3 linked regions of the Cricetulus griseus genome follow. The protein of the gene in region 3 purifies or fractionates together with the protein of the main gene of each other region. This does not show direct contact. Links are inferred from orthologs where the notes say so. Each region holds a gene or a part of one and is shown on either strand. Other genes may lie near its edges.

Region 1 (9,795 bases), on a different chromosome or scaffold from region 3:
GAATCTAGATGGCCCGAATTCTTTTTGCAACTCCAGGATCCGGCCTTGAGTAGAAAGATAATAAGAGGGAAATGTAAAATTCAATGTTCACCTACCCTGTTTCTTGGAAGAGCTGCGCAGATTTTCGTTTGGAGATTTCCATCTGTCTGGTGGAAACTGGAATGGTGCTGGGGCAGGTTATCTGCTGTAGTAGGAACCTACGGGAACCCCACCCTCTAGGGCAGTTACACAATCTCAGCAGCCCGGTCTCAGCCAGCACTGAAACCTCTAGTGATCATCACTTTCACCTTTTGTTAACCTAATTCGCCAACAGGCTTTCAGCCTTAAAAACAACCAACTACATTAGCTGTTCACAAAATTAATTTATCAAAACTGAAATTATTTCAATGCATGCAAATTCTCAGTGAGAAAGTAGAAAATACATGTTGTAAAAAGTCATACTTTTATATAGAATGCTAACAGATTTGATTTACCCATCTATTGGGGTAAAATATGTACCAACCTGAATGCATATTATAATCAATACACTCAAGACAGATTTTTTTTTTCCTCTCTGTCCTTGCTGTGATTCCAGTCACATAAGCCTCTGCAAGAATACTTTGAGTACAAGGACACTTGCGTTGAACAGTTTCAGATTTACTTGATTTTTGCAACTAGATGAAGAAACTCCTTCACTGCTGTATTTTGTATCATTCCTCTGTGTTTGTGTATTAACAATTGGGTTAACTTTCAGTTATGTCAACTAAAGTAAAATACTGTAATATAAACCTGCACTATTTCAACTTGGAGTCTCCATTTTTAATTGTGATCATTTTCTTTTCCAAGTTTTCAAAAAGGACAGCCTCCATTTCATTTCAAATATAAAGTTGAAAGAAAATAATCTTCCAAAAGTTTTATAAGTGTTTGTCTGGAATGAACTGACTGTAACACCCAAAAGTTGGTGACAACACATAGGAAAACATTGTAACTACCAGTCTGAAGCAAAATTAAATGTACCAATGCCATACCAGATTGTTATTTTTAGAAGAGGGCATCAAGAGGGAGGGTAGACTAGATCAGGAAAATGATATAAGAATTATTCACACATTGGGCTTCAGAAAGCTGGTACCAACTTCTCTTTCTATAAATATATAGGTATTTTTCATGTCTAGGAAGCCTAATAAACAATCTACCAATCACATCCACTACATATTTAAATCAGACATGAGCATGTGCCAAAGCACACCTCTACTTCAATACCTATTAATACGCATGAATACAAAAAGGCAACTTCACTGTGGACTTGAAGTACAAAAGGTGGCCATAGAAATTCTATTTCTCTGTCTTCCAAATAAACACTTCATAAGGTCACAAGTAAGTACAGATAGTTAATTTACTTTGGCCAGAGGAAAATTATACATAAAATTCTTTCTTCAATAGCTACATCTTGTCGCTTTATTATGTGAATTTGGCTTTCCTTTCAACTTTTGCAATACTGTATTTCTTCTGTGGTAGTAAGTACTAATTCTATAGAGAAAACCCATAGCAGAAGCAAGCAATAACTCATCATCCCCCCACCCCCCAAGCTTAAATGCAGGACTTTCCCTGAGCTAGTTTGCCTTTCAACTGCAATAAAGGTTTTCTTTGCTAAGCCCACACTGGCCTTTCTTTCTTTTTCTTTTTCTTTTTCTTTTCTTTTCTTTTTTTTAATAGTAATTTGTGGTACTTTTTTGTGATTCACTTTAAACAACTGGTAGACTTCAAGAAACTTAGATCTAAGGTAAATCTAGTTTCACATTAAGACAACAAAATTTTGCCTATCTCTCTCTCTTTTAAATTTGATTCCAGCTTTTCAAAATTTCCTAGAATCTCTCTCTCCCCCTCTCCTCCCCTCACGCCCTTTCTTCCCCTCTTCATTCAAGATCCAGTCACCCCCATTTTCCAACATCAACTCTTGTGAATTTCAAATCAATGTTAGCCAACCTGCTTCTCCACTAGCCACCCGCCCCCTTTCCTGAGCAACCTCTAAGTGCTGGCTGATAACATCTTAGGGACATATTATTTTTCACTGGTCCCATTGTAAGAAGTGGCCAGCTTATTGCATTACTGCAGAGCACATTTCAGACTATACAAATGTAACAAATGAACAACTTGTCTTCCACAGAATCACCACAGGATCCAATTAATTACTAAAACTCTAACTCAGGTTTTCCAATTATTTTTTAGGGTTTATAGCAAGTGGGCTGTCTGAAACAGTTTGAAAAAGTTTTCATTTTGTCTGATATATATGCATATATGAACACATGCAATATATCTGGTATATATGCATATTGCACTCAAAGCAAAAATGATTCAAGCAAAAGAAACACATCTCTAAATTAAATTATACAAATATATTGAAAATTGAACCAAACAGATACCTCTATGTTGTAAAAATGGATAGGGAAGATAGGGGTATTTTACTTTGAATAGCTAGAATTTTAAGTTGTAATTAAAAATTTAAATATCAACATCCTTCTGTGAGTCATTGTAACAGGTGATCACTTCAGCAAGCTCTACATTGCAACTCAGCACATCTTTATTAGAATTCGTTCATTGTGGGTAAACAGCCACAAAAATAAATGCTGACTTAGAAAGTATAAATACAAATATTTAAACAAAAATGTTTGCAGCATTCATAGCGCAAATTGTACCTGAACTGAAGGGATATATATGCATATATACATATGCATATATGTATATGTATATATATGTGCGTGTTCATTATTCACTTCTAACTATATACATATATTTATTTATAATGTGCCAACTTCTATTAACACGATACCGGAAATTATATATATATATATATATATGTATATATATATATATACATATATATATATGGCATTCTGTCAACTGAATTTAAAATAAAGCACAGAATAAACAGCTATGCACATAAAATTGAATATCTTCTTTTTTCTGTATTTCTACAAAATTAAAGATATTAGCTGAAAAGCCTATACTTCATTTAAAGCTAGTATTTATTAAGTAACCTGCTCCTGGTAAAATTTGTTCACAAAGGGAAAAATGATACTATTCTCATTTGAAAATAAAGGAGCAGTTTAAACTCCAACTTGGCTGAAAAAGCCTTCGAATTCCCTATAAATCAAATGGTAATTTGCACATTAGCTCTACTTAATAAAAGAGACAAAAATATCAAGATATATATGAATTTAGCCTATTTTTTTATTTCTGTGTGTTCATAGTAAACATTTTTGTAAGTGACAAACACGGGCATATGACCACAGTATCACAATCAAGAAATTTTAAGACAACATTAACAATCACTCAAATTGATGCGTCATTTGCGCAACACGGGTTACATATTTGCAAAGTTTACCTATAAGTACAATAGGTATTAACATTTCACTACATTTAGAAAAAATAAAAGTGACCTGTTAGTGACCACATACATCGAAATATACACAACACAAACTGAAGGCAATCCTTAATTTTGTCCCCTTCCGATTCAATTGAATGGGCAGTGTTGCCAACTAAACAACTTTCCTTTTTCGTTTGTTTGTTTGTTTGTTTGTTTGTTTGTTTGTTTTAATACTTAGTATACCAAGTGCATTTGCTAGAATCCAATCTTTGGTCTAAAAGTAAACAAAAGGTAAAAACAGTTCTTTAAAGAAAAGGACAAAACAATAAATGGCCAATATAATTTCTTGGGCACCTTTACTACAAATTCTTAAATACAAATTACAGTTTAACATTTTTAAACTCTCTCCATAATTTAGGTTGTTCTCAAGGCCTGCGTCCACCAGATAGCTCCATGATAACTTATAATACTGCACACATGGAAATCTGGCAGCCTTTTGAGATAGGCTTGTCAGGTTTGAATGAAATGGCAAAGCAGTCACTATTTAGATACACATTCTACTATAATTTGACGTCCAAACCTTATATTCTACAATGTATTCTCCCACATTGCACCTCGCTGACACTCCACACCTTGTTAGAATAGGAAACAACCCTAAAGACTGAACAAACGTACAGAAATGGGGGGGAGGGCTTAATAAAAAATACCTGGACTTATTTTTTAATTATCATTTACAATGCAAATGTGTGTAAAACGTTCACTTACAGTCTGGTCCCCGGGATGTTAATGTATTAAAGGGTTGGAAGAAGACCCCTGATTTTGATGTGTGAAATAATCAGACAGTCCCCCGGACAGTCCTGTCGTAAAACTTGGCAAAGAGGGTCTTAAGGACTCACAGGGCAGGGTCGAGGGGGCCTGCGGCGACGTAGAGGAAGACGCGGCCCTGGCGCTCATGGACGTGCTGGTCTGCGAAGTCATTGACGGGTGTGGGACGTGGGGGAAAAAGTAACTTGTCTGGCCCGCGAGCAGGTTGACGGAGCAGGGGTTGAGGGAGTAGGTCCCGGAGCAGGGCACGGACAGGCCGCAGGGCACCGAGGCGGCGAGCGCAGCGGCCGTGAGGTGGTGTGTGGCGTACGGGATCTCCCCGTTGACCAGCCGGTCCACACTCAGCCCGTTGGCGGTCGAGAAGGAGTGGTTGTTGCCCAGCGAGTTCTGAGTCAACACGGAGCTGTAGGGCATGGGGTGGCTGGGGTAGGCCGACGTGGTGCCGTTGTAACTCAAAGTGCTGCTGGCGCGGGGGTGGTGCAGGGACAAGAAGGGCGACATGGGCCAGTAGAGGGAGCCGGCGCGGTCCATGAAGGTGAGGCCAGTGGAGGTGAGGCGCGCCCCGCGCTTGAAGGCCAGCTTGGCCCGAGACGTGGTGGAGCGGCGCCGCAGCTTGCCTGTCGTGCCGCCGATGAACACGTCGTCGCTCGACGGGTCCAGCATCCAGTAGTTGCCCTTGCCCGGGTCGTCGTAGTGGCGCGGCACCTTCACGAAGCACTTGTTGAGGGACAGGTTGTGGCGGATGGAGTTCTGCCAGCCCTGCTTGTTCTCGCGGTAGTAGGGGAAGTTCTTCATGATGAACTCATAGATGCCGTTAAGCGTCAGGCGTTTCTCCGGGCTCTGCCTGATGGCCATCATGATGAGCGCGTTGTAGCTGAACGGCGGCTTCTCGTACTTGCCGTTCTTCTTGTCGCCCTCCTTGCCCCCCTCCCCGTCCTTGCCGCCCTCGCCCGCCCCCTTCTTCTCCTCCCCCCCGGCACCGGCGCCCTTCTCCTTCTCGTCCGGCCCGACGGGCGCCAGCTCTGCGGGCCCACCGCCCGGCTCGCCTTTGGCTCCCAGCGCGTCGGCCTTGGCCCCGTCCAGGGTTGCGGGCGGAGGGAGCAGAAGCGGCTGCGGGCCCTTGTCGTCGTCGGCTGCCGGGGCGCCTCGTGCCTGCGGGGGCTGCGGGGTCGGGGGCGGCTGCTGCTGCTGCTGGGGCGGCGGTGGCGGCTGGGGCGCGGGCGGCGGCGGGTGGTGGTGGTGATGATGATGATGGTGATGCTGGGGGTGGTGGCTGTTGTGGTGACCATGGCTCGCGTGGTGGTTGTCGTTCTGGACGGCCTCAGGGACCAGGCTGTTGATGCTGAACGAGGACTTGGGAATCATTTTCACCTCTTTCCTATCTCCCATGTCCAGCATCACCCAGGCGTCGGGGGGCGGCGGCGGCGGCGGCGGCGCGGTAGCCGTGTAGCGGCGCGGCGGGCGGCCGGTGGGTTCGAAGCGGGGCGCGGGGGGAGCGGGGGTGGTGGCGGCGGCGGCGGCGGCGCGGCGGCACTGAGCGCTCCGGCAGCAGCGCAGTTGGACCGCAGGCTCCGGCGCTGGCAAGGCATGTAGCAAAAGCTGCAACCACCCCTCAAAAATTAGAGAGAGCGAAAGAGAGAGAGCGAGAGAGAGCGAGAGGGAGAGCTAGAGGGAGGGAGGGAGAGAGAGAGAGAGAGAGAGGAGAGAGAGAGAGAGAGAGAGAGAGAGAGAGAGAGAGAGAGGAGAAATAAAAAAAGCAAGAGGCAGAAGCAACCCGCCGCCCGGGGTGCAGCGCCCCGCTCCGTTCCGCGCCCGGCCTCCCCCTCCCCCGCTGCCTCCTCCTCCTCCTCGCGCCGCAGCAGTCACAGCAGCAGCAGCGGCAGCCCGAAGGGGGGGAGAGCCGGGCGGCGGGCGGGCGCGTCCCGGAGCGGCCGCGGCGAGGCTGGGAGACAGCGATCGAGGCGGCTATAGCCACAATTAATTTTCCGAGCTACAGGCGCACACTAGGGCTGTAAAAAAATTTTTGGTTTAACCTTTCCTACCGCTGCACCAATCACAGCCGGCGGCGTGCGGGAGCGTCTAGCTGGCCGTCGACCAATCGGCAACCCAGGGCCCGCCCATCCCCGCCCCGCCCCGGACCCGCCCCCTGCGCCTGCCCCCTCCGGGTGGCGGGCCCGGGCCCGGAGCCGCGCGGGGATCGGCGGGAGCTCGCCCACCCGGCCAGGATTAGCGCGGGGCGTGCGCCCCGGACCCCGGCCGCTCGCCTGCGGCTTCCTCCCTGTATGGGATTATTTTCCTTTGCGCGTCAATATTTATCCTTATTGATTAAAGTTTGTATCCAATTTTGTCTCTAAGAGCGGGGGCGCGGTGGAGGGGCGAGCTGTGAGGGTGCGGGAAAGGGCGTGAACCTTAGCGAACGCAGCAGTCCGAGAAGCGCCCTCGGAGCCGATGGGCCAGCGGCCCGGGATAACCGGGTTTCGGGGGAGCCTGGCCTGGTATATGGGGCGGGGGCGGCCACGGCCAGGCCGGTACTTACGGGTTTCTGAGGCCCTCGGCGAGCTCTGCCGCGAAGAGGCGCTGAGGGCGGCGTGCGGGGGCGGCCTTCCGGGCGGAGAGCTGCCCAGTGCGAACACAGTACCAAACAGTCCCGAAATAAAGCAGGTAACACGTGCGCGCTCCGTATGTCTCCCTTCACTCCAAGATTCGCGCTCCCGCGCGGTGACCGGGTCGCGTTTTCTCCTCGGGCACTCCACCTCCTCTTCAGCTTCTAGGCAGTACTGGAAGCTGGTAGCTGCAATCGGTCACCCTGGAAATATTTTCATTTTGCTTGACATTGAAGAGTGGATGTCTCCTTCCTTCTTAAAAAAAAAAAAAAATCCTATGTTTGCCCACCCACACTCACAAATGCTTTATTTCTTTAAAACCTCAATCTTGAAACATCAGTATATTGAAATCAGTTCTTGCCATTCCTGGATGCTGCTGTAATTCTCTCGGGAGCCTGGGAACGTGAATTTGACAGTCCCGGCTTCGAGGGTTTAGGGATGGTTTGGTGGGGAGGTAGAAATGAGTGGCTAGCTTGTGATTCAAAAGCTTTACTCGAATCTCGCGCACAGGGCCAGGGCTAAGGCCCATCATTTCCCAGGGATTGCAGCACACGGATCAGATGCGTCTCTAGCCCCCACGGGCTCGAAGCACGCCACCTTGTAAGGAGGACGTAGCCCAAGAGAAGAGGGAGGTGGAGATGCATAGGTCACGAGTACCTTTCTCCTCCTCTTTAAGGTAAAATACTCTAGCCATGCAAGCATTTTTCACTGTGATGAGCTCTTAGCTAAATGATCTGGCAGACTTGATATTTCTTTTTTAAATGAAGGGAGAAAAAGCAGGGCCTATGTATGACATTTAAATCTAGCACAAAAATGTAATAGATGAATCCTTAAACTAACAGGGAGCTATTCCAGTGTTCCCACCCCCAACTTTGAAATGGGGCGCGGGCAGAGGGAAGGGTAGGGGAGAGAAACATTAAAGAGAATAATACCCAATTATAAATAGTTAACGATTTTAATATATCTATTAGGAATGTTGTGAGGGATCTTCGAATATTTGTCCCCAAATATCCTTCCACTGGTTGGATCTATTTCTACAAATCCGCTTACATTAAAACAAGCTATGCATGAAGAAAAATTCCAGGGTTCTAGCAATCTACTTTGCAAGCAACATCGGTCGCCAAAGGTTGATTTCTAAGCTTTGGGTTTGCCACAGCTAGAGAGATCTGTGAGCCCCAGTTGTCCGGTTCACTTCCCCTTCCGCTCTTTCTCCTCCTCAGGCCCATTCTTCTCAGTGGTTCCTCAACTGGCTTGCTTTCCTTCCTCCTCCCCTCTTCCTTCTCCTCTTTTCACTAAGCCACCCCTTCTCCCTCCCTCCTTTCCTCTCCCCTCCACTCCTCCACCTACTCCTCCCCATCCCCCCAACCCCCCTTCTCACCACGCTTATAATGGCTCACGGGGCTCCCTCTGAGGTGGACGGCCCGGTACGTTTTCGTAGTCGGTCTAGCGTGAAATGATTCGGTGTAACCGGATTCTTGGGAAAGGACAGGTTACGTAAACATTTACTGATGTGGAGTAACTATACTATTTGTACTCTGATATGCAGGAAGGAAAGTGTTGATTAACACAGAAGAAAAAAAAAGCGAAATTAGCTGATTGCATGCTCATAAGTGCAAGCTGTCATTGAACTGCTTTTAAAATAGACACAGCTGGGTGTTTGTGTTGAAAAATTTCTTGTGTTTTTGCTAATACTGAAATAAGCATGATTTTGTATACCAAACATTTTCAGATCATTAAAATTTGTAATCTGTGCTGGTTTTAAACACAAAGAAAAGAAACAGAATCATTTCGATGTAAAATTTGCTGATATTATATTAACTCAATCAGGTCTGTACAAATTGTGCATTGTGTCTTCTAAAATCTGTTTGATCAATTTAATACACAAAGTGCCAAACGTGGGTATTGTTTGTTAACATTGGACATTTTATTCCAATCTGAGCTCAGCAGTGAACTGGAGGAGTGTTCCTTGAATACAACACCAGCACTGACTGATGAATTTTTAATGTTTTGAGGTAGTGCTTAGGTTAAAGCTAAATGTGTATTGTTTTGCTACCCTGTAGAAGAAATTAGCAGGAGAAGTAAGGTTTTCTTCTGTTTACTTTCAAAGAGCAAAACTGGGGTTTGGAAAGTGAGAGCTTCAGTAATCTGATTTTATATGTCAAGGCTTATAGTGGCCTGAAAAATGTTTTTGCATGCGAATTAAAGATGTGCGTGGGATTTTTAAGGTTGCATGAATGCAAGTCTCTCCAAACAGGATGTTTAATAGTAAAAACACAGAATATAGTTTGGTATAATATTAAAACTAGTTTCCTGATGCAAAGGTTATTTGCAGTTTCCAAAAAAGCAAGTTTGAATCCCTTTAAATAATTTTAATTGCTCTTTATGATGAGATGGGAATATATATCAGAACACAAACAAAAACATATGTATATCAGCCTTCTTCAACAAAACATGCACTGTTTACTCAGCGGCTTATATTTGTATCAGCAATGGTTTCTTTTTAGATCAGCTGCTAGCTGAAACAGAGGGGGAAGGGACTTCTGGACAAAGTATTGTGAAGTTGAAAGTCTCTGGATGGGGCTTTGTATATCCTACCAACCAATTTGGGTGCAAATTGGATTTGAAGTCCTGCCCACGTCCACCACGGGCCTCTTCCCTGAGCACATAAAGCCCTGTTTTCAGCCTCTGTGATTACCTTCAGAAGACAGAGGGCAGGCAGCCAGTGGTCTCAGACCGGAAACCAATTCCCCAATCAGTGTAAGTTTTCCTCCTAATCAATTTAACCTCACACTTATAAATCTGCAAATGTGTAGGTTAGTGAAGTAGTGAACATAACAGTGTATCAGAGTAAATGTGATTTGTTGGTTTACATAGTGGTGAACTTGTAGGCCTCAGTACTCATCTACCACCCACCCACCCACTCACAAAGAGGACAAGAATTGTATAGTAAGCAATTCCAATGGAAGATTCTTTGGAAATGAATTAGATAATTCCTTCTAGATTTTTAATTAACCTTCAAGACTC
Region 2 (10,582 bases), on a different chromosome or scaffold from region 3:
GCTCCGCGGCTCTGCGGCTCTGCGGCTGGGGCCTGCTGCCTGGGCGGCGCTGGCCTGGGGCGGGGAAGCGGGGGCGGCGGCCCGCCTGTCAGCGGGAGCGGGCGCGGGCTCGTGTGTCAGCGGCTCCCGCCCCTCGCCGCCCCCGCCGCCGCCCGCCGGGCCTCCGCCGCCGCCGCCCTCCCCCGCGGCCTGGCAGGCTGCCGGCTGCACAGGCGGGGGTTCGCGCCGTTCTCACGACCTCTCAGGTTGCCTGAGCTCATCTGGGAGCTATTCATTTCCTGCCAGAAAGCAGCCGGGCCTGCTGAGCGAGCCACCTTGGCCGCAGGGCCGCCGGGGCTGGCCCGGTGTGGCCGCCCTGGGCCGCTCCAGCCCGGTCGCGGTCCCCGAGGCCTCCCAGGAACCCCGAGCCACCCGGGGCGGGCGGGCGCGCGGCGGGGGCACTCCGCCCGCCCATCTGGTTGCACTTAGAAGCCCGGAGGAAGCTAGCAGCGGGTTGTTACCGGCCAAAGGGTGTGGGGAAAGTTAATTGACTTTAATGACAGGTTCCCCGTGACGATGAGGGGGTCCAGTTAAACCTCTGGGTCCCCACTGCAGAAACACGTGGGGGTGGGGGAGGGATGAGACCCGAGGACGGGGTGAGTTTCAGTCGCTCAAACCAGGCTCAGGCTCTCACTTCTCAGGATGATGCTAGAGACCTTCTGAGAGCCGAGGCCCCGAGGGTCTCCAGGGAGAGGCCTCCTAAATCCTTGACCTCAAGGACAGAGTTTAGAGATGTACATTATCGCCGGAGAGATCAGCTCTGCAGGAGCTGGTAGAGGGGTAAGGCAGCTGGGTGTGCCCCGAGGCAGTATAATTAGGCCAGACCCAGAGGACCTGCAGGGAGGCCAGAATAAACTCCGGCGCTTCACCTCTCCCCCAGCTACTTATTTAAGAAACAGCAGGGATGCTGGAGGCAGCAGTGTCTAAGAAATAAATCTGTTCTGTTTATGAACTTGGACCTGTCCTAGAAAAGGGAAATGACTTATCCAAGGGGATGCCGTGAGTTCAGTGGCTTTCAAGAACATGAATGTCCCCAACTGGGACGTAGTCTTTCTTCCATCCCGTATTGTACTGTAAAGACTTCATCTAATAATGTAAACCCAAATTGGGGGAGAGGGGCTCTTTTCAAAAGAACAACGGTGGTTTATGTTTCTCTCACTTTCTTGGCTTCTTCGGGTGATGCTGTGTATACTTTTGGTGACATTAATAAAGATGCTTGAAGAAATTGAAATTTTCTTTTTAGTTGTCCATCCCCATCCCTCCCCCCGCCCTGTAAAGAACAATGTAAAGGAATTACTTTTATAAAATTGAGATCCTGATGTCTGGATTATTTTTGCCAAAGAAGCTAAGAACTCTTGCTGGGGGACGGAGGACCGGGCTTACCAGATTTTAGTATTTGAGTATGGGATGGGTGTCTTAATGGAGCAATTGTTACTATATTTGTATTTAAAAGAAAGAGAAAACGAGGAAAAATGGAATGATAAGAGACATGTGTGTGTTTCTTTGGTAAAGGGTGTGTTGGACACATTTCTTGTACACAAAATAAGGCAAATAGGAGCCAAATTTTCAAAACGATCTTTTAAACCTCTCTCTCTAGGGGTCGAGGCTGAAGATATTAGAAAGGACCGGCTGCTGTCTGCTAGATCACCCCTGTGGTAGAGCCGCACTCCACATTGGCCTGTGGGAAAGGCTGGAGCCAGGCGGGGGAGAGGTAAGGCTTTTGAAACAAGACAGAAAATCGTTGGCTTTATCTTTGTTAGGAAAGCTTCAAAGATTGATCTCTCCCGCCTCATCCTTCTCCCAGAAGCCGCTGTAGGGAAAGGGGGAGGGGGGTGAGAGAAGGGCGGGCAGGCGGGCGGGGCGGGGGCTGGGAGGAGGACTGGCCGGCGGTGGGGAGGAAGGGCGCGCCGGCCAGACCCACAGCGCGGCTGATGTGTCTGGTCTCGCAGGGCTCGTGGTTTTCATTTCCCCAACACCTGGATGCAGTCAAACACCTGGCCAAATCTGACAAAATCTGACAAGCCTTTGTGATGGGATTTGGAAGAAATTCCCTGCAGATCCTGGCACAGTTTAAAGCTGTCCGCTTTGAGTTAGGACTTGTTAAGGAGGGTTGTGTGAGCTGAAACCCGAGACAACCCTTTTGCTTCTATCTGGAGCCCACATCTTGCCTGGAAATGGGGCATGACCAAGCGAAGGGGTCGCTTGCTGTTTGTATTAAAAGGGGAAAACGGCCTGTGTGCCTGCCAGCGCGGTCCCCACATGCTTTCTCCATTAAAGTCAAGCACAGAAACTTATCAGAAACACATGTCTGCTGTTAATCATCTGGCCCGGGCTCCACTTGGGAGTCTAACTAGCTGTCCCATGGCAGAAGGAATCTGTTGACCTTTTCAGCTTGCTTGAAGAGGGTGCAGAGAGGCAGTTAAAGCTTTGTGTCGCGGGTGCTAGGGGATTCGATGCTGCACCTAAGGATGGATCCCAACATTTGAGGAGGCTTAGGTTTGTGGCTACTCCAGGGAGTTAAGTCGGAGTCGCCCTTACTGCCTCTCAGAAGGCACAAAATAGGGACTGTTTATCTTTAAACGCTTTTTCTTTTCTTTTCTTTCTTTTTGCAGTCCTTTAGCCCCATCAAATGAATTTTTCAAAAATTAGGTCTTTTTAGTTTGTGGAGTGTTGGTGAAAAAGGTTTGGTGGTTTCTGTTTGAAACGTTAATATTATATTTTAAATTCTATTTCTGGGTTCCCAGACTACATGGAATATGAATTTCAAGAGACTCTCCTTTTACAATTTTTGAAATAACCAGTTCTAAGACATAAAAGCCTTCACTCTTTTATTATACTTTCTCCAATAAACTTCCCCAAAGGAAGATATTTTAAGAGCATTTTCAAACATCTTTGGCATCACATAAAAAAGAAATCTCGTGTAAAAAACGAAATGTCATCTCAACTTTTATAATACAAAGGCGCAATCCAATATGAACATATAAAATATATACAAATGCAGTGCATGGTCAGTCACTTAATACAGCTCTCTACAAAAAGTAACTTTTTAGAAATTAAAAAAAGCAACAAAGTAGCCACCAAATTATAAAAGTCTTCTCTCCTAATATCCAAGTTCGTTTTTAGTGTCCGTCGGAAGAGAGAGGTGGGCTAGGAAATTTAGGGTGAGCAATGGCCTGAGCCCCTCAGTTCCGCCACGGCCTCCACATGGAGTCCGCAGTGAGGGAGGAACCGCTGGAAGGAGACACTGCGTTAGGACCAACCGAGGTCCCGCTGTTGCTGGTGTAGACTGGGATGACTGGGCCGCTGTGGGCGAAGGCCCCGTTGGGGATGAGGAAGGCAAATTGGCCGTCAGGAGCCGGCACCACCTGGAAACCGCCAAAAACCTTGGCAGCCTCTCCAGCCTGGCTGCCCAACTTGCAGGGTGCGCTGCCGGGAGGGGGCGCCGCGCCCCCGGGGATGGGCACGAGCGGTGGCGGCGGCGCGAACGGCGCGTGCTGGGGGCCGCCGGGTCCTGACGGGGGCGGCGGCGGCGCCTGCAAGGCGGGGTGCGGCTGCCCGGGGTAGGTCATGGCGTTGATCTGGGTCATGCAGTTGGCCAGGTGGCCCAGCAGCCGAGTGCGCACCTCGGTGTTAACGCCCTCACACGTGGACAGGAAGCGGGTCACCTCGTTCATGCACTCGCTGAAGCCGGCGCGGTACTTCCCCAACACACTCGGGTCTGTGCTGAGCGCGGCTGCAGGCCAGAAGGAGAAAGGACAGGTCACCAAACAGCCCTGGCTCCGGGGCCACTGCCTCCCGCCCTGGGAGGTCCCCGCTGAGAGCCTCCGGAACCATCTGGGGTTGGGAGGGTGGGGTAGGCTAAGAACAGCCAGCTCCTTCTCTCTAGGTTGGCGACATAAGCCAGGACACTCCCTCCATTTAAACCGATCTCAGCTCCAGATCTGCCACCTCTAGCCCCGCGCGCTACGTGACCTTGGGCAATGCCACCCAAGGCGCTTTCCAAGTCCCACTTCCCCTCCTGCGGCAGCGGTTGGACGGGTGCTAAACCAGTGACCCCTAGCTTCTATCCAGCCCCAAACCGCCTCAGTCCTAAGTCCTTTCGCCCTCACCAGCTTCCACCACAGCCAAGCCGCCCACCACCCTCTCGGCTACAACCTCTCCCTCCCTTTCCGGAGCAGTAACAACTTGGGAGTTGTGGCTATAAATAAGACCCAGACCGTGGGAACGCGGAGTGAGCCAAGGCAGTAAAATGTAGCTGAATGCCTCTCACAACCGCGGGCGGAAGTCTGGAAGAAATCACCGCGGGCCGAAAGGGACACCCGCAGAGAGGGGACGCACGCGCGGTCCTCACCGGTCATCTGCGCCCGCTGCAGGTTCCGGAGGTGCTTCACTGTCATCTCCAGAATGTCTGCCTTCTCCAGCTTGGAATGCCGGGAGCTCTACGCAGAGGAAACAAGGGAAGAAAGTGAGACCCCCCCTTGTCAACTGCCTCTTGTTCTGAAGGTCCCCAACCCCGCCCGCATGTCCCACATCCCAGGGCCCTGTGGGAGAGGCCCGAACCTCCCTCCCGCCTAGGGGAAGGCAGTGCTGGCGGGGTAAGATCCTCACACAGCAGGGGAAGAGTCAGGTTCTTTGTGCCTGAGAAATACCACTGCATTCGTAATAATAATGATAATAATAATAATAATAATAATAATAATAATAATAATATGCATTGCTCACTTACATCTTTCTTAAGTGCATCCAAAATCAGTGTTTTCAGCTGGCTCAGACTTTCGTTTATTCTTGCCCTTCGTCTCTTCTCCATGATAGGCTTTGATGACTGCAAAGGAAAAAAAAAAAAAAAAACCGGGGGTGAGGGTTGAGCTCCCATGGGATCTGCCATTTCACCCCGAGGTTTTAAGAGGGAAAAGTACGAGGAGCCCCTCCGCGCATAGCCTACGTAATAGCTTCAGAGAGACGCAGGTACTGTCTTACCTTTCTGTGCTCAGAGGCGGTCTTTGGTTTGTCCGGTGTCGTGTTGACACTGGCTGGGGTAGCAGCCACCGGGGACGAGGAATTTTTCTCCATTATATCAGCTGGCATTTTCTTTCTCTTTTTCTTTCTTCTCAATCCCCAGAGAATTTTATTTTTGGAATCCTTCACGCAAAAAATATTTTTTTGCTTATGCCCCTTTTACTTGACTTTCATAAGAAAAACTACTGAGCAGCTGAGGGTTTAGTATGTCTTAGGGCTACTTAGTGATCGGTAGCGCTATTCCAGGACCAAGGAGAGAGGTAGACGGGGGATTCCGCTGTTATCAGCACCAGCTCCAGATCCTGTGTGATCCGCAGGCCCTGGCGGCCTCTATATATATCTGGGACTGCACGCGAACGGCTCGTGTGAAACTTCCCAAACTTTCTTTCCCACAGTAACTTTCAGCCAATGGGAGGAAGAGACACGCGGCACCGCTCGTGGACTGCGCCCCCCCATTGGCCGCCAGGCACAAGGTCTGGCGGCCAATGGCGCGCGCCTGAGCCCGGGGCACCGGAGGCTACAACGTCAATCAAAAGGATTTTAACCCTTTGCTGACTCCTCTGGGCTTTGCTTTAGAAAGGACTTTTCCGCCATGGCTTTGGTATAGTCTATTTCTTTTGTGGCCAGGTCTTTGGATTTTTATTGTCTTTGCCACGTGCAATATAACTACTTTGTATAGTAAGTTCATTTGAAAAACATTTTGAGAAAATATAGGAAAAGACATAATTTAGTGATTTAAAAACCAGGGAACTCGCGCAAGGGTGTGTTACTCTAACGTCCAAAGTGAATTCTCTAATTCTGTATGCTCAGGGGAGTGAAAACTGCTCATGCAGGGGGGGAAAGCAATACCCAAACCCCCAAACTAATCACTCCCTCACCACCACCACCCCAAAAGAGAAGTGCCTTCACAGGCAGGTTTTTTGGAGCAAGATGGCTTTTGGATGTCTGCCCCTTCCCCGCCCCCCAGCTTGCTTCTCATTCCTCTCCTGGGAATGGGGCATTGGACCTCACGCTTCTCCAGGAAACAATCAGAATAATTTCCTACTGGGCAGAAAGGAAATGGAATTTCAAATGAAAAATGAACAAGAGGGGCTTTGATAGCAATGCCACAAGGGCGCGCGCTCCTTCGCCACTCTATACCTTTCTCCCCCGCAGGCTCTCGGTTGGCAGTACCGAGAGGCGGCAGGCAGGGAGCCGGCCTCTCCCCTCCTCGCCCTGCGGGCGGCCATAGGCGGCCTCTGCGCCCGGCGTGCGAGCCCTTTAAGAGCTCCACCAGCCGAGCTGCAGTTTGACATCAGCCGGCCGGCGAGGGCGCGCCTGGAGTCGGAGCACGTGCCAGGATGTTTTATTGCCGCCGCGGCTGCGGCCGGACCCAGAGGATGTGTGTGTGCGTGCGTGTGTGAGTGTGTGTGTGCGCGCGCCCCGGGGGCAGGGAGGCGGGCCGGCGGCGGGCGGCCGGGAGCGGGGGACGGCTCTAGTCCCCGGGAGAAGCCAAGAAGGTAAATAGCAGCTGCTGTGCTCGAGCCTGGGAAAACCCCGCCCCCTGCGCCTGGCCTGGGCTCATTGGCGCGCGCTGCGTGTGGGGTGTGTGTGTGTGTGTGTGTGTGTGTGTGTATGTGTGTGTGTGTGTCCGTGTGTGTCCGGGGCCCCCTCCTCCGGCCTGGGCGAGTCAGGAATCCGTGGGGGTGGAGGGTCGGGATCAGGCCCCGCGTTAGCCTCCCCCCCACCCCTCCCGCCAAGGTCAGCCCTTCCGGGTGGGGCAGCGCTCGCCCAGGGGTGGCGAGCAGGGAATTCGTGCTCCCCACCCCCAACTCCATCCCAAGCAACCCAGCCCGGACTCCGATCTTGGGGTTTGAGCGCAGCCGAAACCTCCCCGGCGACTGCGGCGGGGGAGGGACCCGGGCGGCCGCCGCGGTCACGAGATGCCTGACCGCACTTAGGAAGCGGCAGGGTCAGCCTCCTGCCTCCGCTCAGCGGCTGTGGTTACAGAGGCTTCGCGCGCCTGCCCGCTCGCCCGCCCGCCCGCCCCTTCCCGGGTCCCTCGCTGCATCCAGGAGGCCGCGGCGGACGGCGGGGAAGAGACGGGCGACTGCGTGCTGCCGGCTGGCCGGGCCGCGCGCCGGAGGAGTCGCCGCCGCCGCCGCCGGGTGCCACGTGGCGGGCGCCGGGCCGGGAGCGCCAGGGCTCTGGCGGCGGCCTCCCTGGGGGATTTGCCGCACGGCGCGGGCGGCGCGCGCTGCCCCCGGCGGCTGCCTGCCTCCCTCTTTGCCTGCCCCCGGTCGTCCGCCCCTTGCCTCCACCCGGGTGTCCCCAACCCCTTCACATTTCCCGCCGCCCTGAACTCCGGGCGGCTAGCAATCCCAGCACGTTGTTTGATCCCCGCCCCCAGCTTTTCCCGCGTCCGGGAGGCCTGGCACACAAGGCGCACACTCTCGTCCCTCCCTTTCCCCGCTCCCACCGAGATAATGTGAATGATTTCTCCAGATCTGGTCCGGGATGAGATGAAGTGGTTCGCATGACCTTGGGCAAGCCCCTCTCTCTTTTATGATGGAACGGCAGACACTGTTAAACCCGGGGATTACCATGATGAGAGATACAGTGGCCGCTCCCTTGGAGTAGTCCACCAACGGCGGAGGCGCACAGAATCAGACTTTCTGACCAATGCCTGGGGATTCTGTTTTTTCCTTTCTTTTGGGGGGCTTGGATGGTGTTCTGAGGGGCGGGGGTCATCGGAGGAGTGTCTTTGCAGTACAAAGCTACACCTGCATCATGTGTGGAACGAGACAGTGGCCTTAGCCCGCTGCCAGATACCTGTGTGGGTATGGCTGCCATCTGTAGATTTCCCAGAAGATTCCCCTGGGAGAGCCCTAAAGTGGAGCAGTAGACAGGAGTAAAATGACGTGGAGAACCCAGGAGAATTAGTCATATGTTAAGCTGTTATGGTAAAGTTACCGGTGGAGAGGATCTGTGTTTTGTACCTCAGAAAAATATGGCTGAGGCATTGGAAATATGCTGAGTCATGGACTCGGGGGAAGGGAGTGCCCGGCGCAAATCTCGGGAACCTGAGGTCTTTATTCAGGATGTGTGGAAGGGCAAGGAAGAAATTTGAGGCCACCACAAGACCTTAGACATCCTGCTTTATAAAAAAGGACTCCGAACGCCACAATAGGTTCATAGTGGGGGGAAAGACACCAGGGTTCTTAGGAAGATGACCCTGACAAGTGTCAAGGGTGGACTGCAGGACTTGGAGATCGACCACATGAGATCAGACTAGTAGAGAATGCTCCTAAGTGACACATGTAGGCTGACATGCTACCTTCTTGGTCCAGGTCACCTGGTCAGTAACCACACAGGCCGCTGACCTGAGTGAAAAGGAAGTTGGTTTGCCCTAGGTGTAATGTTCTGCCATCTCAATAGGTTCTGACCTTTTTACTTTCTAAGCTTCTTTCCTGCCTCCAGGGACAGCCCTCCCCCAGTTTGCAACAAACCTTTACCTCAGGGGGCAGACTTGCTTTATTCACACTTGTTCTCTTGCCCCTTTGGGGACGGGGGTGGTGTGTGTGTGTGTGTGTGTGTGTGTGTGTGTGTGTGTGTGTGTATGCGCGCGCGCGCGCGCGTGCGCGCGCGTGTATATTACCATGCTGGAGGGTGGGCTGTGCCCTATCTTGTTCTGAAGAAATGATAAACAATGCCTTCTTTGTTGCTCTGCAACCTGGACCAATGGGGTAGGACTCTCCCTTCTTTCATATTCTAAACAGATGGGAAAGTGGTGATGACAGAAAATTGCCGGTCACCTTTTAAGCAGTGGGATTTTCCTGTGTTTTTGAAATCCTCATGGTGAAAGGTGATGAACCTGTGGAGTTGTCCTTCTTTCTGCTGTGCCCCAGCAAACTAAAGCTCCTACTAAGTCTTTGACTTAAAAAAACAAAACAAAACAAAACAAAAAAACCTCAACAATGAAACCACAAATACATTGTCCCAGAATCTCCAGGGGACAGCTGTCCAGGGGAGCATTTTAACCCTAACCAGGTTCCCAGCCTCCTGCAATAAGGTCTGTTATGACTTTGGCTGCTGTCTGTTCTTAACCTGGCATGCCAGTTGTCCCTTCTAATATTTTTTGTCTGTTTCTATTGCCTCTCAGGCTTTAGTTCCTGGCAGGTGCGTGGAGGAGGATGAACAAGTCAGTTAGGGTCTCCCAGTGTAGCCTCCAGCAGCCCCATGGATCAAAGAGTTAACCACAATTAATTTATTGTCACTTTAGGAGTATTTACACTGGAAGAATAAGCAAGTGACTTCACATACACACTTTTAGATTGAGGGACAGAAGGCCCATGTGACCAAAAATTATGCATAAATTTGTGCCTGTGTGCTGCCCCCTCCCAATAAGATTCAAAGGCCATGACAGCCCTGACTCTTGGCTCTGCTAAGTGTCAAGAACAAGGTTGCTTTGCAAATGAACTCATAGATGAGTTTTCAGACTCTTATCCTGGTCAAATGTCAAATTGGTGCTGTCCACCCTCCCATTTGGACAGTAAACTCAAAAGCCAGAAAGATTTTTTTGAGCTTGAAAGGTTCCTAAGGAACATTTTTCGGCCACATTGCACTCCCAAAGCAGGAGGGACATGGAGAGGGGTGTTTTGAGTGGAGGTCTTTTTGCTCCCAGTGTAATGTCCATAAAGCAGAATTTGTATACTACATCGTATCCAGTAATCACAACCAGGGGCTGCTCCACTGCCTGCCCGTGTAACCCATCACCCACGAGGGTGGCTTCTCTCACCTGTTTGCTTTTAAAGCATAAAACAAATGTCTGTAGCCTAGGAGAGATTTCCCCCTTCCCCCTAGGTTTTGGGGGATGTTTTGTGGGTTTGTTTTAGAGCTAGGGAAAGGGGGGTGGTGGTGGTATTTTGCCTGAGGACTCAAAGCTTTTTTCCCCCTTTTTCCTTCGCATGACTGACTTTCTCACACTCCGATTCCCTGCAGCCTGCCAGAGACTGGGTTGTTGCCTTGCCAAGAGCTATCCTGGTAGGGTTATTGAAAGAGCTTTGAGTAAGTACACATGGGGCGGATTTCTCTCCTCCCCTTGTACCTGCCCTGCACCTGTACTGGGAGCAGCCCCACACATATCACCTGATCACAGCCCTTTCAGACTCCGTGAGAAAAATGAAGCCAGAGAGAGCAGAGACATGTTTGCCTTTCCTCCAGGGCAGCAGCCAGCTCCTTGCAGCTGGGAGTGTCCAGAGACACTGTCGACATTCCAGGCATCTGTGCCTGCATGTTTTCTGTGGGTTCCTCCTGGCGACACCACACTGGGACAAGAAGGAAGCTGGAGATCACTTTCCCTGTGGCCACTCTCCTGCTCTGGCCGTGAGCATTTGGCCTGCTGGTGACTTCAGGTTCCTTTACTGGAATCATCATCATCATCTTCTCAGATAAGAGTCTTTGACTTCTTCACAGAATTCCCAAGCAGAACTTCTCATAACCTGGACAGTCCCTGAAAAAGGAATTTGAATTTGTTCCTCTATATGCC
Region 3 (10,387 bases):
GAGGAAAAACAACTTCCCCAAGTCCCTCAAGTTCTTCTGGCCACTGTACAAATTGTTCTTGAGCATGGAGAGTTTCCAAAAGCCCTAATTAGCAACTCACAGCAAACATTTCTTTGCATTAGCTAATGATCCGGCCACACTTGTAAGCAAACAGAACCAACATATCTAATCAATGCTGAAAACCAACCAAATGACTATTAAACATCTGGATGTAATTTTCCAGTTAGAACAAAATGAAAACATATGCAGGTCCCTTTGATCTTCATCTTAACAAAGAAATTGTTGATAAAAAGCATACTGGTCAGTCAATGTGTAATTTTCATAACGTCTGCTGGTTTCTCTTCAAATGTTCCCCATTTAATTTGGTTGGTTTCCTGCAATCTCTAATTTTACCATATTGTGTGAAACCACAAGAGATTCTTTGGATGTGATTTTATTTGCGGTTTCACTGTTGCATGGATCTGCTACTGATTTCTTTTCCTTCTCTGCCTTCTGTCCTCTACCTCCTCTCTTTAGGAATAGGGTAGGAATGAATGAAATGTAACAAGCACCCCTGAGAAAATTTCTTCTGGACCTTACTTCTAGGTTTAAGAAAACACTCACTTCAAACAAAACCAAACCAACCCAGTCCAAGCATGTTGACTCTTGCCTATAATCCCATTATTTTGGAGGAAGAGGCAGGAGGATTGTTACAAATTCAAGGCCAGCTGCATTTAAGTAGCCAGCTCCAGGCTAGCCAGGTTTACAAACAAAACACCCCCTTCCCCATCTAAAACAAACAAACAAACAAACAAATAAATAGCTCAAAGCAAAACAAAGGCTGAGGATGTGGTTAAGCTGGTAGAATACCTGAGCAAAACCTGTGTGGAGCCACTCACAGAATCCTAGAAGCAAGAGAATTCAAAGTTCAAGGACATCCTCTGCTACACAGCAAGTTTGAGGCCAGTTTGGACTACAAACAAAAAAGAAAACAAAATAGCCACCATCATTTATTTCAAGTCATTATTTATGTGGAATCTAGAAACTGTAATTAGCAAGAGATGAATGAAAATACACCCATGTATGCATCAAGATAAAGTGAACACACTAAACAAGCTCCTCCTCCACAGTGGTGAAATTGGTATGTTTTTCCCCCCAAGACAATTTCCTATGGAGCTGGAATATTTAACATTGTTAACAGATTTCAAATTAAAAGATGAAAGCCAGGCATGGTGGTCCATGTCTGCAGCCAATCCCATCACTTGGGAGGTAGTGGGAAGGAGAGCTACATATTCAAGCATGATCTACATTGTGAGTTCTAAGTTAGCTGTGATACAGAATGAGACGTTGTCTCAAAGAAACAAGCATACACAAAAATGTGATATATCAAAATTACAGATTGAATGAGCAAGACCATATTCATTTAAATAAGTTACAGGTAATTGCACATATATTATTCATTTCAAACATAGGATTAAAGCAACTTGATTGTCTTAAACACCATCATCTGTAATGCAGTTTGATGAGAGTTTTGTAGTATAATTATTACAGCATGCCAATCACAGAGTAAATATGACCTTGAAAATAAAAAAGGACACAGCCCTCTTCTATTCTCAGAAAGATGAACTGAATGGAAAAAGATACCTTCAAAACTCCATCATTTTTATATGTGCAATCAAAGGGCTCCCAATTTTAAAATCGTTATGTACCCCCAACCACATACTGCATTTTAAAGCAATACGAAGGGTTGGCCTGGTTTCAAAGGCTAGTACTAAGAAAGCATTAGTTAAGAGAGAAATTCTAGTTTTTACTCAGAACAAACTGGAAACTCCAGTGAGTGGACAACACTTTCTCTGAACAGTTAGTGGAGAGTAAAGGCAATGAGTTAGCATTGATGTGGAGAGTGGGGCATGTAGCAACACTTTTGCTTCTGACCCTAAACCTAGTACTTTAAAACTTAATTATCACCATTTTCTATTAAGTGAGGGGCCACCTGATAGGTAAAGCTTGGGGACTCCAGGGAGAAAATTTCACAATAGGCACAAGCACAGACTTGTGGTGTCCCAAGCACTTCCTATTCAGCTTGTGAGCTGTTCCTGGGGATAGGCCACTGACTGGGGAGATCAAACCACTGAAGGATGATTTCAAAGAACATGTTAGTTACCCAGGATCACAGGAGTTCAAAAATTCCCGTTTGGCTCACTCACACATCACCAAATCTAACCAAGGAAAGAGGCCTGTCTTTCTTCTTTTTCATTTGGTATGTTATGAAAACGAGTAACGTAAGCCTGTTCCCAATTCTACGAGAAAAGAACAACCTCAAAAGACACTGAATCCGTTTCAGCGTTTACTGTGGTCTGCAGATTTGGCTGATACCGTTCCTTTGCTTTTCATTTACAACCGATATTCGAATTGATGCACTTACAGACCATGATGCACATGCAGCCCTAGCATGCATGTTTAAAATGAACATTCCAAGTACCGCAATGAATTACCCATTTTTTTCTGTATTTCAAAGAAAAAAAATGTCAAAAGCAAATTCACATCTATTTCAGTAAGCTCCTTCCGGTAAGTCTCTATAAGGTAAAATAATGGGGATAGAGGTATTAATGCCCCAAATTTGTTAACTAGGATTCAACAAAAGATAAATGTTTGCCCAAGCAGTCCTTGCCTTTCTTACCAGAGAAGTTACCACCAGGAGGCTAAAACAGCATCATTCACTCGTGGGTCACATTAAAACAAAACAAAACCAACAAACCAACAAAAAATCTACAGGTCCTCGAACTGCTCTTTAAAGAAAGCACACGTGTGGCGATACTGCAGGTGTTTTGCTAGGGAACCAGACAAAAACCGGAGACTCAATGCATTAGTTCCATAGCATGTCTCCTTTATTTAAACCTTGAAATTCCTCTTATGTCAATCCTCATTAAACAAGCTCCTCAAGCTGCTTCATTTACCAACTCTCAGTGGCTCACACGTCTCTGCCTGGAGTACAACCAAAGCAACAGGGGAGGGGGAAGGGCAGGTTTCAGGTCTCGACGCTGGTTTATTCCATTGTCTTTCATTTCCCAGAAATTTGAAACTGACTAGTTACTCTTCCGGCTGTCTGCTAAAACTCTCGGCCACTTCTCTCCTATCCAAACAGTGAAATCATTTGAAGACCAGAACCCAGATTTCTCAGGGGGCGCAAAAGCATCTCGTCTGCGCACGGGACACGAGTGTCTAATACAGCCAGCACCTCAGGGATCTTCCCCGCCAAACCGAGTAAGGTCGACCTTTCACGAAGTGGTGCAAAATCTTTCCAAGCCTGTGCAGCTAGCGGTCCAGTCTTCCCTCGATGGTGTGCGCATGCCAGCTGCAGCGATGCTCATGCACTTCCCATCAAAGGCACAGTTCACTTCTCGTGGGTCCGTGGAAAGGCAGCTCGAGGAAAAATAAGCTCCCGATAAACTTGTGAATGGAACCTCACCTTCAGAGTAACACCCAACAAAGGGAACCAAGACAAGAAAGTGCATTCAGTTCTCGTTACCAAGACGCATGCCCTCCCCCAACAAGAAACCCCACGGTTAGTCTCAGGTACTTTCACTGAGATTTCCTTCAAGGAAAAGAGGAGCGAGCAGCAGGCTTCTGCAAACTTCAGCCCCCTGCTTTCCTCGCCTCCCGCGCGCAGGCCGTTCGAGCTCGCGGGCACTCGCGCGCTCCCCCCAACTTGCCCCACGTTACTTTGATTGACAGCCCGGCTCGCCGCTCTCCTTCCCACCGACCTTCGGAGGCGGCTTGCCAATCTCAGCGTCTGACCGCTCCCCATTGGCTGGCGTGTGCTCCCCGCAGCTCCTCGGGCACCGGAGCACTCAGAGCGCCCAGGACGCGCTGGCGAAGGAGGGGCGCAGGCTGGTGGGCGGAGACACGGGCCAGCAGAGGCCCGGCGAGGTGGGCGGAGCGAAGGCCCACACTGGCTTTGGCCGGCGCGCGTCAGCACCCCACGTTGGCACGGCGCACGCGGTTGGCCGAGCGGTCGCGGCTCCGCCTACGTCCGCGGCGGCCCTGGCGCTTGCCGCCCCCGCCGCTTGTCTCGGGCGGGGCGCTGGTTTGCTAGCGAGTGTGAAACCGCGTGTTAATGTAAGCGGCGCGAGAGGCGCGGGCGGCGGCAGGAGCAGCGGCGGGGACCCCGCGTCCCGGGGCAGGAGCCGGGACTCGCCTTCGACGTGGCCCGCAGCGGAGGGAGGCCGAGCGGCAGCACGCTCTCCGTCGCGTGGACGTTTGCCTCCGGGTTGTGAGAGAACTTTGCGGCGGCTGGAGCTGGTCCGCCCTTCGCCAAAGAGTCGGGGAGGGGAAGGCAAGCGCAGGGAACGCTGGAGCCGCGGAGCGCGCCCGGCGGCCTGATGCCTGGGCTGGAGGAGCGCCGGGCGGCCGAGGGGCTGCACCGCTAGCACTAGCCGCGGACCGGAGGGAGGGCGCGTACTGGCGCGACCCTACCTGCGCATCAACCGTCTTCGTCTCCGCAGCTCCGCGCCGCGCCGGAGACTCTGCAACGCCGTTTGCTGAGCCTCGGGGTGACCCGGAGCTCACCGTCGTGGGAGCGGGTGACCTCCCGACCTGAGACGCCGCGCTTGCCGCTGGCTGTCTACGTGGGTTTTAGCCAAGGCGCCACCTGCGCGGCCGCCGCCGCAGGGAGGAGACTAACAGCCCGTCTGCCTTCGTGAGCCGCCCAAGGGAGCGCGGCCGGGGGCACCGGGTGGAGGACCGCCGTAGGACCCGGCGCCCCCGCTGCGCAGACTCGCAGGCGCGGGGCCGAGCCGCCCGCGATGTGGTCCTGAGGGCGGGGGCCGCACCCGTCGCGCCCTGGCCTTGTATCCTGAGCGCCCCGCGCGCCGGCCTGCTGCGCTGCTTCGCGGTCCCCGGCGGGATTCAAGTTGGAAGTGGCGCGGAGGATAGAGCTATCCCGGAACAGAGCCTCGGCTGCCGCCAGAGCGATGTTCCCGCAGAGCCGGCATCCAGTGAGTCGCCGGCGCGGGTGGGAGCCTGTCCTGCTTGGGAGCCCACGAAGCCCTGCTCCCCCCGCCCCCGCCTGTCCCCTCCTTCTGGATGTCTAGACGCCCGGACCGGGGTTTCGCAGTCACCTCCCGCCTATCCCGAGGCCGGAGTGATCCTGGCTTTGCCACTCGTCTCGCCTGTTTACATATAGTCAGTGCGGCCGGGTCACTCCAGGACTGGGAGCTAAGAGGGAGTTGGCATTTCTTCTTCGGTCCCCGGGGTCTTTTAGCGCACGGTTTGGGGAGGGGTGGCCTGGACGGCGAAGCTCTGGTCCGGCCCTTCTCAGTCTCTCCGGGCCGGGTGACCCCAGGGCGTCGGGCTCGCACAGTCCACATTGGAGGTAGACTTGCTTCTGTAACCCTCTTGAGAAATTAGGGCCCCGGGAAGGTGTGCTTTCTCTCTCTCTAAAGTGAACCGAGGGCTCGAGTTTGGGGCTCCGTTTTCCACCACTTCTAACTTTATTTTTTTGTTTATGTCCCATCCGCTTCTCCCTCCTCTGACTTTTCTGCTTTATGCCCTCACCCTCATATCCCCTTCCTTGGTCTTCCTTGCTGGTCACCTGCAGACGCCGCACCAGGCTGCAGGCCAGCCCTTTAAGTTCACTATCCCGGAATCCCTGGACCGGATTAAAGAGGAATTCCAGTTCCTGCAGGCGCAGTATCACAGGTGCGTGACGACCTGCTCGGGGTGGTGGTCACCTGGGGGCTCTTTCCTCACTCGGCCAGGCTGCTAGGACTGTGTACTTAGTGCTTGTGTCCAGGCGGTGGCGTGTGGAGTCACAGTTAAGCCCTGTCATTCATGTTACCCCCCTTTCTTGGCTCTCCGGGCCGCCCCTCCTGTTGTCTCCTCCTCCTCTTCCCATTGTTTCCCCTTTGCGCATTTGCGGCTGTTCCAGGGAGTCCCTTTTCGTGTATTTTGGAGTTGCATGAGAACCGTCAATATTTGCGCTTCGTTTATTTATTTTGCAACAGGCTGAACTAAAACATGGGTTCAATCAATGGCTCAGCTCTGTAGTGTGCGTTCAGGAAGGCAAAGCCATGTTGAAATCGCTGTTTACCATACTAGAAAATTGGGTTGTCTGAGACAAAGTCCATTAGGAGGGCTAGCTGCGTTTAGCTGTGCCCATCATGGGTGATTAGGTGGTAGAATGTAGATAATGTGTGTGGCCCACACTCTGGGGTGTTTGGATAGGCCAGGGGAATAAAACCACATTCACATTGACCTTGGTTCTGAGTTCTTTATGTAATGATACCATCTTCAACGGATTTCTTAGAGAAAAATCTTGCTAAAGCCTCCATCGATAGTGAATTATCCAGAAAGGCAACTTATTTTGCTCCTATGTGGTTTTGATTCATTGGAACTAAGCAATAACTTAGAAGAAGACTTTTACTTTTCTCATGCTGTAAAAAAAAAGGACCAACCTAAGGCTTGGTGGCTTGGGTGTAAATTTTCATATTTTGTCAGTGACTTTTTGATTTTTGAGCTGTTAGCTGCTTTAAGGTGTTATCTCCAGAACTTGAGGCATACTTGCACACACTGTTTACTGAACAGGGCCAGAACTTCAACCCACTTTGCTGCTGTAGCTGCTTGTCATATTTTGGCAGGAATTCAAAACGAAAGGTTTTGAAAGGCACTAGTTGTTATAGGAGTAACTTTACCAGTAAAGTGTCTCAAAACTGAAGATGCCTGTGCTAGGGAAGGGAGGTTGTGCAAAGGACATACTTTGGTGCAGTCAGGAGAAGTAGGATGGGGACAGATGCGCAATCTTTTTTAATAGGTTTTTCCTTCTTGCACCCTCAACATGGTATGTGCCCCAAGAACAAATAGAACAGTAGTTGGTGGATATTCGTTGTTGTTCACTTTCTTTCCCAGCATTGAATACAAAGACAGCTTTAAGGATGTTTTCCTAGCTTATGACTTTTCCAAATTGTTTTTACTTGAAGTGCAAATATGTGAGGCAGATGTTAAAACAAGTGACATAATGTTTACCTTAAGCTGCCTGTTTTGTTTTTGTAGTCTTAAATTGGAGTGTGAGAAATTGGCAAGTGAAAAGACCGAAATGCAGAGGCACTACGTGATGGTAGGTATCAAAGATAGGACCTTTTTCTCTTCACATAGCGGTGTGTGTTCTTACTACAAAAAATGTGAGTTAACGACTTGCTTGGTTCTTCTCTTTACAGTATTATGAAATGTCATATGGATTAAACATTGAAATGCATAAACAGGTAAGCTTTAGCTAAATGTTAAGCTGAGAAAGCAGTTTATAGGATTTTGCCATGCTGGTTTTGTCCTCAGTCACTGCATGATAGGGTGGGTGTTTGTGGGCTATTTTTCTGCCCTTCTTCGATTTGGCATTAACATGCTGCAGCAAGGATTGCTTCTTCAGGGTTACAAGACTAGCTGAGGTGCTTTGGAAATGTTTACAGGCAGAGAGGAACTGAGCTCAGGTTACTTTTCCACTTGGATAGATTTAAAGATCTCAGATATATTGTGGTTACTGGAGTTTAGGACAGTTCATATTCTTATATGTTTGGGTATAAACTGTGGAAAGTGAGGGGGAGGGGGTACTTGAGAGTTTCTTTAATCAGACTTAATAAAGCATATGACTTTAGAGTGCTCTTATGCTTTGGTGTTCTGGAAAGTGACACTCAAGATTAGTGGCTTATTAGCAAACATGTTTTTGAAAATTTTCTCGGTTGATGTCGATTTGGAGGAGAAAAAAAAAGTCCTTTTATGGCCAACGAGCGTGTTGGAAGGTGCTTCAGTCCTAGTGGTTTTAAAAGCATGAAAAGATTAGTGACTGGAAAGCTTTAGCAATGACTTGAGTTTGCAAGTTCCCATAAAATTCACACTTATGGCTACTATAATGGTGTATAAAAAGAGTATTGAGCTGGAACAAGACACTAAGGACCTCATAAGAGAAGAAAAGCTAAATGATTGCTCAGCCCAAAGGACCCTCAATTGAGTAGTCATTGTCTGCCAAAGAAAGCATTAATGGCAGGGTGCAAGTGTTCTGAAGATATGCTGACATTCACTTTATCAAAATGCTGGTACAATAAGTCTTTTAGAAATCGATTGCCTCTTAAAAAATTATCATCAGATGAAGTTGCACAGTTGGACACGTTTCAAAGTGCAACAATACAATTCTTACTTGATGTATATGTGCTATTTCATCTCAGACCCTTGTTTCATTAAATTAAAGAGCATGGCTGACCGGCTGGGGCATGGTGGAGAAATTGATTAGTTCAGCCTTCAGATCTTCCTTATATTCAAAGATTTTCATTAAGCAAATCCATTTCGGAGTTGAATTCTGCTTTTGTAACTCTGCACGCTTTGATTTTTAATTCATCATAGATTTCATAATTATGTACATTAGATCTGTTCCCAGATACATGTTTTCAGAGTGCTAAGTCAGAGCCTTTCAGTAACTAAGGTAATGAGCCTTTCATAAAATGTTTGTTTTACTGATTTGCAGAGTTCTTTATGTGGTGCTGATTTCCTGTATTTCTGCTGCTGGTGTGCTTTGTTGAGGTTTTTAAGTCAATGATAGTGAGCTGGTATATCTCTGGTCTATGGCCATTTAAATTAAGAATGTAAATAAACTTGGTGTAGGAATTCTAATTTGCATCTTTTAAGTTACTCTGTAGGGCACTTTTTCTTTTCTATTATGTATTCTGGGCACTGAGCTTTTTCTTAAACATGTAAACTGGAAGGATTTAATGACCCACAGACTCTTGTACAAGGGAACAGCAAGTAGCACACAAGTTAGGTGCTGGTGTTGGTCTTATTGAGGAAACAGAAAGAGGTGTGTTAATTCTGGGTTCTGGTGACTTTATTTACCATAGAGAGAAGGAGTAAGAGGCCAGAAGGGTCAGACACCCCTGGTGTGAACAAAGTTTTCTCTTGGGTTCTGTACTGTTGTGCCTTGGGCATTTGTGGGTATATACTATCTCTTTGTATGACAATATGCATTAATAATACACTGTGTGTAATTTGGCCAGTAATTTGAAACAAATGGGAAGCTAAGAGACACCATGTTTTTCATAGAGTATTAAGCCCTCTGAAATTTAGTTCATATTGCAAATGCTGACAGACCCTTCACTAGAATGGAGTGCAAACTCATGCTGTAATTCAGTCTAAAGTGGTCTTACATTTGAAAAACAGCCTTCTGAGTGTCACATGTTAATAGTAAGTTTTGAAGAGTCATTTGGTGCTGTTGGTGATCATAATTCTTATTAAAACTAGTGATGTCTGGCCCCCAGGGTGTAGCCAGGCTCAAATTGATGCTTTTTGCTGCCTGATCACCAGCATGGCCTAAGTGCTCATTATATTGTAGAGAGGGCCTTTGGAGCTCTCATTAGATTTGACAGGAATTCTCTCTAGGGGGAAACTGGGCATTAGCGAAGACTCCTGACAGGCTGAAATTATTCCTGCTTTATGGCTTATAACCAAATGCTAGCAAGGCATCATCAGGGGACACAAAAAATTGTCATTTCTGACAACATCTTTGTTACTGAAAAAAAAAAAAAAAACGGTAGCAATGAAAAAAGAGTAGCGATGGGGGAATTTTGCATAGAGAACACTTTAATGCTGGTAAGATTTGTCTCTAGTGTGGCTCCTGCTTTCCCTTCATAGCTTTCAACAGCTTTGTCAGGATCTCGCCACCGACTTTGCTGTCTGGAAGTTTTAAAGTGCAAGTGCATCCAAATCAAGAGTGGTATAATTGTGGTTTCCTTACTTGGTATGGTGCCCACATTCCATGTTTATGTTGTGTCAACACTTCCTGATAAAACCTTCCCATGACTTCCCTCCATTCTGTGGCTGGTTGTGGAAAAGGCAGCTTACCGAGATTGTTTTTTCCCTTAGTGCTTTTTAATAGGTTGCTGATGTCTGTCTTTGTCTGTGTAGGTGGTAAATTCTATTTCTGATCAGCAGAGATGTGGGACCTATTTGTAAGAAAGCAAGGCAATTCTGAGAACACCAAAGTGTTGAAAATTACATTGAAAAATAACAAGCTGGGGTGAGTCTTCTTCAATCAGGAGCTGATCCCCAGTGTCTGAGCTAGAATTTGTTGTTTTTGTGTTCTGTGTCCCTTAATATTTTCCGAAACAAGATGTGCCAGTATATGTTTTCTTCATGATGCCAGGGCCAAAGGTTACAGGCCTGGTGTGGTGGCAAATAACCTGTATTACCAGTTTGTTGTTACGGCAGGGGGATTTTGAGTCTGAGGTCAGCCTGGGTTGCACAGTTGAGACCACCTGTCAAAGAAAGGTGTGTGTGGATATAAATGGTGTTCATCGCCTTTGATTGTACCATTTTCAATGGCAGTTTGCCTCCTGTGCCCTACACATGTTGAGAAGTACCTGCGTAGGTG

Evidence for each region.
Region 1: the proteins of Tle1 (region 3) and Foxg1 purify together in Homo sapiens (affinity purification with western blotting; 3 studies listed by BioGRID and IntAct, with this or other methods). This does not show direct contact. The link is inferred for Cricetulus griseus from reciprocal best matches to the Homo sapiens genes TLE1 and FOXG1.
Region 2: the proteins of Tle1 (region 3) and Hes1 purify together in Homo sapiens (affinity purification with western blotting; 4 studies listed by BioGRID and IntAct, with this or other methods). This does not show direct contact. The link is inferred for Cricetulus griseus from reciprocal best matches to the Homo sapiens genes TLE1 and HES1.

What each region holds. Positions count from the first base shown.
Region 1 is NC_048598.1:152,816,328-152,826,122, forward strand, and holds Foxg1 (forkhead box protein G1), read right to left. Parts: upstream 5,567-9,795; coding exon 4,127-5,566; downstream 1-4,126. UniProt on the Homo sapiens protein: Transcription repression factor which plays an important role in the establishment of the regional subdivision of the developing brain and in the development of the telencephalon.
Region 2 is NC_048597.1:59,404,641-59,415,222, forward strand, and holds Hes1 (transcription factor HES-1), read right to left. Parts: upstream 5,404-10,582; 5' UTR 5,125-5,403; coding exon 5,017-5,124; intron 4,862-5,016; coding exon 4,766-4,861; intron 4,479-4,765; coding exon 4,391-4,478; intron 3,773-4,390; coding exon 3,222-3,772; 3' UTR 2,851-3,221; downstream 1-2,850. UniProt on the Homo sapiens protein: Transcriptional repressor of genes that require a bHLH protein for their transcription. May act as a negative regulator of myogenesis by inhibiting the functions of MYOD1 and ASH1.
Region 3 is NC_048595.1:74,293,593-74,303,979, forward strand, and holds the start of Tle1 (transducin-like enhancer protein 1), read left to right. Parts: upstream 1-4,057; 5' UTR 4,058-4,952; coding exon 4,953-4,976; intron 4,977-5,578; coding exon 5,579-5,679; intron 5,680-7,029; coding exon 7,030-7,093; intron 7,094-7,193; coding exon 7,194-7,238; intron 7,239-10,387. UniProt on the Homo sapiens protein: Transcriptional corepressor that binds to a number of transcription factors. Inhibits NF-kappa-B-regulated gene expression. Inhibits the transcriptional activation mediated by FOXA2, and by CTNNB1 and TCF family members in Wnt signaling.